Kluyveromyces lactis: one gene and its partner. The protein of the gene in region 1 purifies or fractionates together with the protein of each later gene. This does not show direct contact. Links are inferred from orthologs where the notes say so. Each region holds a gene or a part of one and is shown on either strand. Other genes may lie near its edges.

Region 1 (4,026 bases):
TTTACACTAGCGCTTATTGCCCAATATGAAATGCTAAATGCTTTAAGGATGATAAAGCAATGAAAATGCGAGCAAACTGGGGTAGCTCGTTATATATCTGGTTTATCTTCGATCAAAAGTTAAAACAACAAAATTTAAAACAAAACCTCACAGAGTAGAAAACACCAAGACTATTTTTATTCTTAACTCGAAGGTCATAAAACACCAAGTACCCAATACAAACCTGTTCGACCACTGGCTCACCCGACTTATGTATGATTGAAGTCTTAAAAACAGAGGAACATTAATACCTTGCATGAAAACGTCTGCTCATGGTGACAACCCTTTTTTTCTTATTATTTCCTTTCCTTTTCTTTTCAAGGATTCCCAGTCACATTTCTCTACTACGATATTTTCTAAGCTGTTTGGTGAGAATCTGGAAACCAAAAGACGGTCATGTTGACAATGAAAAATGGAAGATGTGTTAGTTTGGCTTTCGAAGAAGAAAACGGTGCGCTGTTACGTTTCAACGAGGCTCATCATCTTAATCATTATGGTGCGATCTTATAATTAGATTCCGCGCATATACGACGGTCGAATTAAATGACGAATTCCACAACTTCGCATGCTCGACATTTGACTTTTTAACGTTGATGGTTTCGGGGTTAATGAAGCCAGGTAGGTACATTGATTTTAAACATTGTTCCGAGCACGATAAAACTTTCAGAAACTGATCGTTGAGTAATGTATTCGTTCGAAAAAGAATGGCATTATGTGGCCTCTGTATTTAGGCAGCAGTTGAGACTAGAAATAAGTTACAATATAAACTTTTGTATTTAGTTATGCTAGTTTTGAAGATGTTGAACACAATTGTTCCTTCACTTCTGTACCATTAGCTATAGTGTAATCGGTGCAACAATGCCAATGGTTCTACGACAGGGCTCTCAAATATCATCAAAATGCCACATTTTCACTTCGCCCAGCTCGTCTCCGCTAACAAATGAACTGTCACCAATTCCTACACATACAATAGGAGCCTTGTGTCCTGTAAAAGTTTGTATGCATTTACCATTTTGAAGATCCCAAACTTTGATGCTCTTATCGTGAGAGCCACTGACAATTCTGAAGTTATCAGCAGCGATATCCCAAACACCTTCAACATGTCCAAATTGAGTTCTAATGCATCTACCTGAACTGACTTCCCAGAGTTTGATGGTGTTATCCAATGAACATGAAAGCAAATGTGTAGGGTATTTCAAATTCGGATCGAATATTCCTGTACAGTCATCTGCAAAATCTTCTTCTAACTCTGGGTTGGGTACTTTTTCAATTTTTTCATCCACCACTAAATTTTCTGTGTCTTTGATCGTTAATGGAATAACTTTTTGCACTTGACCAACATGTCCTCTGAAAACTTTAATACACGAATTAGTACGGATATCCCACATTCTTAATGTTTTGTCGTCACTGGAACTGTAACAAGTGAAACTTTTTGGATGTAGTTTAACACAGTTGACCCATTCCGTATGGCCCCGCAACGTATAACAAGTCCTAGATTCAACATGCCACACTTTAACTGTTTTATCAGCAGAAGCACTCACAATGATTTTTTTGTATGAATCCACCGATAGCACAGAATCCTGGTGGCCTCTATAAGTTGATATACAGGACCCTGTAATGTAGTTCCATACTCTGATTGTCTTGTCTAAAGAAGCTGTGATCATTTTCTGATCATCAAAATAAATACCCTTCACACCATCCGTGTGCCCGGTGAGTCTTCTAATCAAATTACCAGATTTTGTGTCCCATATAGCCACCGTTGAATCGTATGACCCAGTGAAAAGCAGTCTGTGGTTGAACTTTAATGACAATACCCCATCCATATGGCCTTTGAAGAGCTGAATTCTACATCTTCCATTTCTCCAATTGGATTCCACTTGGAACCGTTCCCTATATATTACTTTCCAGGGTCTCGTATAGTACCTGCTATTCCTAGCCCTAGCGGCAACAGTTTGGTTGGGAGAGTTGCCAGGATTGATTAGTGACTTTCCGCCTCCAATTTCATTCCCGTTGCCGTTTGCAACATTTTGGAATTGATTGCCGTTTTGATTATGGACATGTGCTTCATTTACAGGTAAGTATCTTGCCCTCTTCATATGGAGTAAGGGTAGACCCCATCCACAGTTTGGACATTTTCTATCAATATGCTGTTCGCACATATGGTACCATACCCTATCGTCATCAGCTAGTGTTTTCCACCTCTTACATGTTAGCGAGGCGATGCAAAGAGACTGACAGTCAAGGTAACCTAAAATTTTCAAAGAAAGTTCCTCTGGTAAGGTTGAAATGAAATCGATCTTAATCAATTGTTTTACCTCATCAGCAATATAAGATAGCTGGGGAAAACAACAAAGCTGTAATATTCCTTCCAGCATTAATCTTCGTATCTTATCATTGCTATGCTGGAAATTGTCTAGCGTTTGTTTGATAATTGCTCGGTCTGATTCCTTGTCCAAAGCTTTCATTTTCTCCATCCACTTCTCCGACCGTACCTGATCTTGGAAAACCATCGAATCCTTACAAGTGTGTTGAATATCTGGATTATGACGGTAGCAGAATTTAAAGAAATTGAACTGAGGCATTTCACTCGGAAGCTGTATTTCCTCATTGTTTTGATTGACCTTGGAAGCTTTGTTTCGTAGAATTTCCCCCTTCCCATCAGTATCCTGTCGTTGATCTGACACTCCATTCGAATCTACATCTTCGAACTTACGCTTTAAATCCGGTCTGCATGTCTGTTGAAGGTTAAACTCCATTTTGAAATACGATCGTAACTCGTATGGTATATTTGAATATATTGATGAGATAAAATGATGGGGTATATTGACTCAAAACAACTTCCCTAGCGTTCTCTTTCCAAAATGTTTATTCTGTTCCTCAAACTTTTGTAAATATACCAGAACCAGTGATCAAAGTGATGCAGTACTGCAAAACCCTTCGTTTATGTCTCTTATCCACAAGGATATAATTCCTTTCCTTGATTCACAGGAAAATTCTATAAGAACACCACCAATGATGAGCACTAGTACCTTTCTTTACCGAAACTTGTTGTTCTTCCCTATCTGAGCTCTCTCCGCTGCTGATCTTTCGTTTGTTCTGAAAATTTCCAAACCGCTTAATACAACAAATATGATGCTTTATATAAATCAAACAAACTATTGGTAGATCGGGAAGTGAGACGCCCCTTTAAGGATTAAGAAGTCTTACTTTGGCAGTGTTTTTCCTTTTGAAGAAGTCCTTTGTCAGTCAAGAGTTTTGTTTAAGTTTCGATATTTTTACTTTTTTTCTCTGCGCTAAATTTCAGTACTAGCTAAAATCCGTTCTTACTATCTTTATGGGAAAAAAAGATATGTTTGTACTGCTAGGGTAGGTAAGCCACACTTTACAGGTTATCTGGCTTATTACAAGGATATTCCATGTTTTGATCTGACTAAAAGCCAAGAATATAACATGGCACATTTTCCCTTGAAAATCAGTCATTATATATGTATAGTGTAACCTGCTACTGTGCATTCGGTCATTATGCGCTTTTCTGTGTTCATCTCTGGTTCTTTCCAGCGGTGTCTCTGGTGAGGTAAGCTATCTGGATTTTTCTCGTTCATTCACGTGATCAAAATTGCCACAACGACAGAGACAGAATCGAAGACAATCAGTAAGAACGGACACTGGTTCGATCATGCAGGGCTGAAAGGCAGGAGTCAAATACCTACTATGCTGACTTCAAATATTGTCTACAACATGCAATATATTGCTATTGTCACAATTTTTGCTGTATCAATTTATCTATATTAACTTACATTATACACAAGGATACAATAAGGTGCCCATGCATAAGATTTTATATATATAATTATGGTGAGGAAAAGTGCTAATCATTTTAGACACGACAGTTAGAAATTTCGAATACCATGATATCTTCTGCACCGTTTTTTTTCAAGTCATCCATAATATCACCTTTGTTTTTCCTTTCGATCATGGATGAAACCG
Region 2 (4,558 bases), about 2.0 Mb from region 1:
AAAGAAACACCTGCCATCAAATGTAGAGCAGTTCCTTTTTTTTTTTTCAGACTCATTCATGTCATCGAAACTGCCTTGATATGGCTTGACTCATCTGAAATCTGAATTTTTTCTTTCCCATAATTGAAATATGGTCAATGAAAAGAAATATGGTAAAATTCCCACTCAATTTCGAGCTAAAGTCTAATCATGACCAATTTTCGTGAATATTCCTGTGGATTTTAAATCCGATGAACGTAGATTTTTGCAGCAGGTATTGACAAACACCTTCCGAATGATGCTAAGGTAGTCACTGAGAGTAGTGAGAGCAGCAAGAGAGCAGAGAGGGCTACCCAAGCATTTAGGTTTGGCTATTGAGTAATGAATAGTATACTCGTCGGTCCTTTCATGATGTCTCTCTTTTTTTCTTGGGAATATTCATGCTTGAAAATATGGGGCCCAAGGTTGACCTTTGGTCGAATGGTCGAATGGTTGCGAAATATATGTTGATACATATACATTTCTTATACATATGTATGGCGAAGTAAAAGGTGGATAAAAAAGTGAGCGTTTACGCTAGATATTCATAGCATTCACCGTCGTCTGTCCTTTTCAAATACTCTTGTTCTATTAGATTGTCGACAGCTTTTTTGATCATGGACACCTTGGCGTTGAATCTCTGTTGAGATTCGGCAATACACTCGTTCATCAATGAACTGTGTGGTAGTTTTCTCTTTGCCTTCATAATTCTCACTATGCATGCTCTTAAGAACATCAATCTTTGTTGATTTAGTTCCTTTTCTGCTTTCTTTTGCTCAGATGCCTCTGTTTCATCTAATGCAGATCCATTAACGGTTGCAGTAAAGGTTAGATCATTTTTCACAGCGGCTGCAAAATTAACACTAGTTTTCGATAATCGATAGGGTTTGTTTAAGGTGTACTTTGTATCTAACTTGATCATACTTTCCACCCCTTCTGGAGATTGTATTAATAGTTTCATCTTCACAAACGGATACATATTAGACGCAATCTGTGTAGCCTTCAAATTGGTTCTCTCTTGTATTTGTTCAAAGGTCAACGTAGATATATCATTAAACAAGGTAAGAATCGCCATTTGGAAAATAGTCACAGTGAATTGGAATGGTGGTTTGCCTGGTTTACCAATATGTGCCTTGATTTCACCACGAGACATTGGCCATAGCCATTTCAATATTCTACCAGAATGCTTGTCAGTATACATGGTTTCCAATTTGTTCTTACTATGTTCAAGAACTGGTGGTAATGCGAATTCTGTTGGTTGATAGCTGAAGGGCCATACATTGTCTGCAAGAATTAGAGGTTCTAATTCAGGAACTTTGCTTCTGAAAGTTGCGGCGCTAGTAGTATTATTCCCATCTTGTGAAATGAACGTGGAAAATTCATCATGCAAGTTTTTAGATAATTTGACATCTTGTAGCATCTTGGTAATCTTGCTGGTGTATTCAAGACTGTTCTCGGACTGTAGTCTTTGGATAATGATTTCTTCATCAGCTTCTGATTTTGATGATCCATGAATTAATCTTTTTGCTAAATTTTTTCGGTAATGCATCTCAAATGCATCCTTGTCGGCCAAGAACTTAAAGACAGTCATGATATCATCCACGGTCAAATCTACCTGTTCATTATTCTTGGTCGACTTTTTGAGCAACTGGTCACTGTATTTCGCCAACATCTCAGGAGCTCTAGAAGTCGCAAATTTAGGTGAACCAGGAGGAATAGCGAATGAGTTATTGTTAATGAAGCAACGGCATCCATAGTCTAAAGCCTTAGCAAAAGCAGGATGATTTTCAAAACATTCTATGGTGATATTGTAAAAGAGTTTGTAAACTCCTATTAAACATTTCAAGTAATCTCTAGGTGATAATCCCGGTTGCCTTTTAGCGTTTGAATCTTGTGCTGCACTCTTATTATGTGCATCAATTAATTTATCGATTTCTTCATTTCCGACTCTCTTGATGTACATATCAAAAGTATCCACCAAATCTGGTAACATTCGGTAATCGCGTTTCATCAATTCGTATATGAGCTTAATCAATCTTTGATCTTGCTTATCCAAAAGTAAAATAAACTCTTTTTTTAACTTATCGGCATGATCAGCAATCAAAACTTGGTTCAAAGCTGTAGACAATGGTGCCGATGTATGGGAATCCAAATATAAAATCATGTCCTTTTCTTCGAAGATTATGCATTCATTTGCCTTTTCGATGTATTCAGAGACACTGTGAGAGTCTAAGAATTCGTTGGACATCTTCGTGTAGTATTCTTTTGTCTTCTGTAGGAATGGCTGTTCGAAGTTTTGAATATACACATTCAAATTCAACTTCTTTAAGTCTGATGGATCGATACCTAATATCACAAAGGATTTTATTGCTATTGTAATAGCAGATTTATTCACTAATTCACCCCTCCGCTGCAAATCCAATTGATCGAATATTTCAGTAACGAGTTCCGTCTTATGTGTTTCAAACATAACTTCTTTCCACGTCATCAAGCACAAAGTATGTGCATCGAAAATGTGTCTTTTACCATCGCTTCTTTCCTTTTGCACCCAGTAACGGTTCATATAGTCGAAGACCCGATTTAAGAAAATAGCTCCGATTGTAAATCTTTCCCAGCGTCTCACGTAGAAATTCAAAAACGTTACATTATCATCTTTCTTTAAATTCGATATGTAATCTTTCAAATAATTCTTTAAGTTCTCATAGATTTCTCCTCCAACAAGAATCGAAGATTGATTCATTTGCTTCCCTATAATATCAGATTGGAAATGACCTGTAGAACGTGACTTGTTGACACAGTAATTATAAATCGCCGTGTATACCTCCATGTACATCCTTGGGGAAAGAACTTTCTGAACTCTGTTTGTCTTTATATCCGATGTACCATCACGATCCAAGATCTGGTCGATCCCAGGCTTCACAAAGTTCCATGTTGCTTCCAAATCATCTGATCTAGGTAATGTGTCTGCCATAGCTTATTAGACTTGTTTCTTATTGATTGCACGTGTAGTTTCTTTTACCAGTAATATTTCTATTGAACGATGCCTAAGTTATCTTTTCTGAAGCGTTAATGAGACTTGCTTCCCACTAACCCAGTTAAATATACGCTTTAGAATAATAGTATTCCCAAGGGCGCAGGTAGCGGTACTTGTAAATAAAGATTTGGTAGTAAACTGAAATCAGCAGCGATAGAAAATACAGTTCGAGTCCCAATTAGTCGAGCAACCCTTTTCAATGAATCGAAAGAAAGGATAAAACAGAATAGAAAGCGCCTTCACTGCTAAATATGAAATGCACCACTTGTTGGCGGGATCCTATAAAAAAGGGTCACACAGGAAAACTTTATATTGCTTCTATCGTGAAGTATCTCCGAGTTGTTCGATATTTTGACCCTTTTTGACAGCCTTACTTGTTATATACTGATTTATATAATTGCATACTATGTTACTATAATTTCTTATATTTTTGTTTTCGTTTGCCACACATTATTGGAATATCAAAAAATCCTGAATTGTTCCTCAATATGAATCTGATCTTATTATTAAAGTACTTAAAAGAGGGTAAGGATTACAGCTTTCGGCAAATATACTTTAGCATACTGCAGTCGTCTAATTATGTTGTTTAATACAGGGCCCAAACTTATATGTTTATAAGGTTTTCTTTGGTACTTTTGATTTTCTTTTGTTGGGTTTGTAAACAAATTATGTACTCTCATGGAATAATGATTTATTTAAAACAATTAATCTACAGGCGTCTTAAGTCGGAAGGGCCCGTTTCAAGAATAGTCTTAGGGTCTTGGAGCACCAGAACTGACTCTTTCCACGACCCTTAATATGCTAATACTGAACGTTACAACCCAAGTGACCAAGACCAAGAAAAGGAACGCCGCGAGCGCCCTTTGTTTGTCACATATATATCCTACGTGCGGAGGATCAACTTGTGACGTTCCAGTAGATGTGCAGACCCATCGATTATCATATAATGTATTGAAGGTAAGCGATAAATTAGCACTTGAAAATATGATGAATAAAAGGTCCAGCATAATTAGTCTGACTTTAGTCATAGGATCTCTAATTCCTAGCGGTTTCCCTGAAAATTCGTCATATCCGATATAAACCAAATATAATATAGCGATGGAATTAACACATAGCGCCATGATAGTACTTGGTTGTTGAGGTATTGATGATTCGAAGGATTCGACAGTGGAATCCGAGTTCTGGTATATTCTACTTGCTAGGCCAAGAGAGATTATGCAGAGTATCACAATGAGAAATCTCAACGACAAAGGTAGATATTGACTTTGCAATAAAAGTCTTCGTAGTCTTGGTAACCATTGTTGTTTTTTTCTTTGTTCAAGGGTAGCCCAAGAGTTTTTCTTACTATTCACACTATTTCTCCCCTTGTTTAAAATAGAATGAAACCTCCCATCGTCACTTGAATGAGTTTCCGAAGATTGTTTCGCAGAGTCCTTATTCAAGTAGTAAAAAGCTTTGAGTTGGGAAACGTATTTAAGCCACTCATTCTTGTCTCGTTGATTACTC

Evidence for each region. Proteins that work in one complex are often made in the same cells at the same time.
Region 2: the proteins of MET30 (region 1) and CDC53 purify together in Schizosaccharomyces pombe (affinity purification with western blotting; 3 studies listed by BioGRID, with this or other methods). This does not show direct contact. The link is inferred for Kluyveromyces lactis from reciprocal best matches to the Schizosaccharomyces pombe genes pof1 and cul1.

The regions. Positions count from the first base shown.
Region 1 is NC_006042.1:2,545,302-2,549,327, reverse strand, and holds MET30 (ubiquitin-binding SDF ubiquitin ligase complex subunit MET30), read right to left. Parts: upstream 2,796-4,026; coding exon 924-2,795; downstream 1-923. Other genes in the region: HIS1 (ATP phosphoribosyltransferase), read right to left, coding at 3,917-4,026. UniProt on the Schizosaccharomyces pombe protein: Probably recognizes and binds to some phosphorylated proteins and promotes their ubiquitination and degradation. Required for the inactivation of zip1 via ubiquitination.
Region 2 is NC_006042.1:536,352-540,909, reverse strand, and holds CDC53 (cullin CDC53), read right to left. Parts: upstream 2,990-4,558; coding exon 551-2,989; downstream 1-550. Other genes in the region: SRF1 (phospholipase D regulator), read right to left, coding at 3,805-4,558. UniProt on the Schizosaccharomyces pombe protein: Core component of multiple cullin-RING-based SCF (SKP1-CUL1-F-box protein) E3 ubiquitin-protein ligase complexes, which mediate the ubiquitination of target proteins.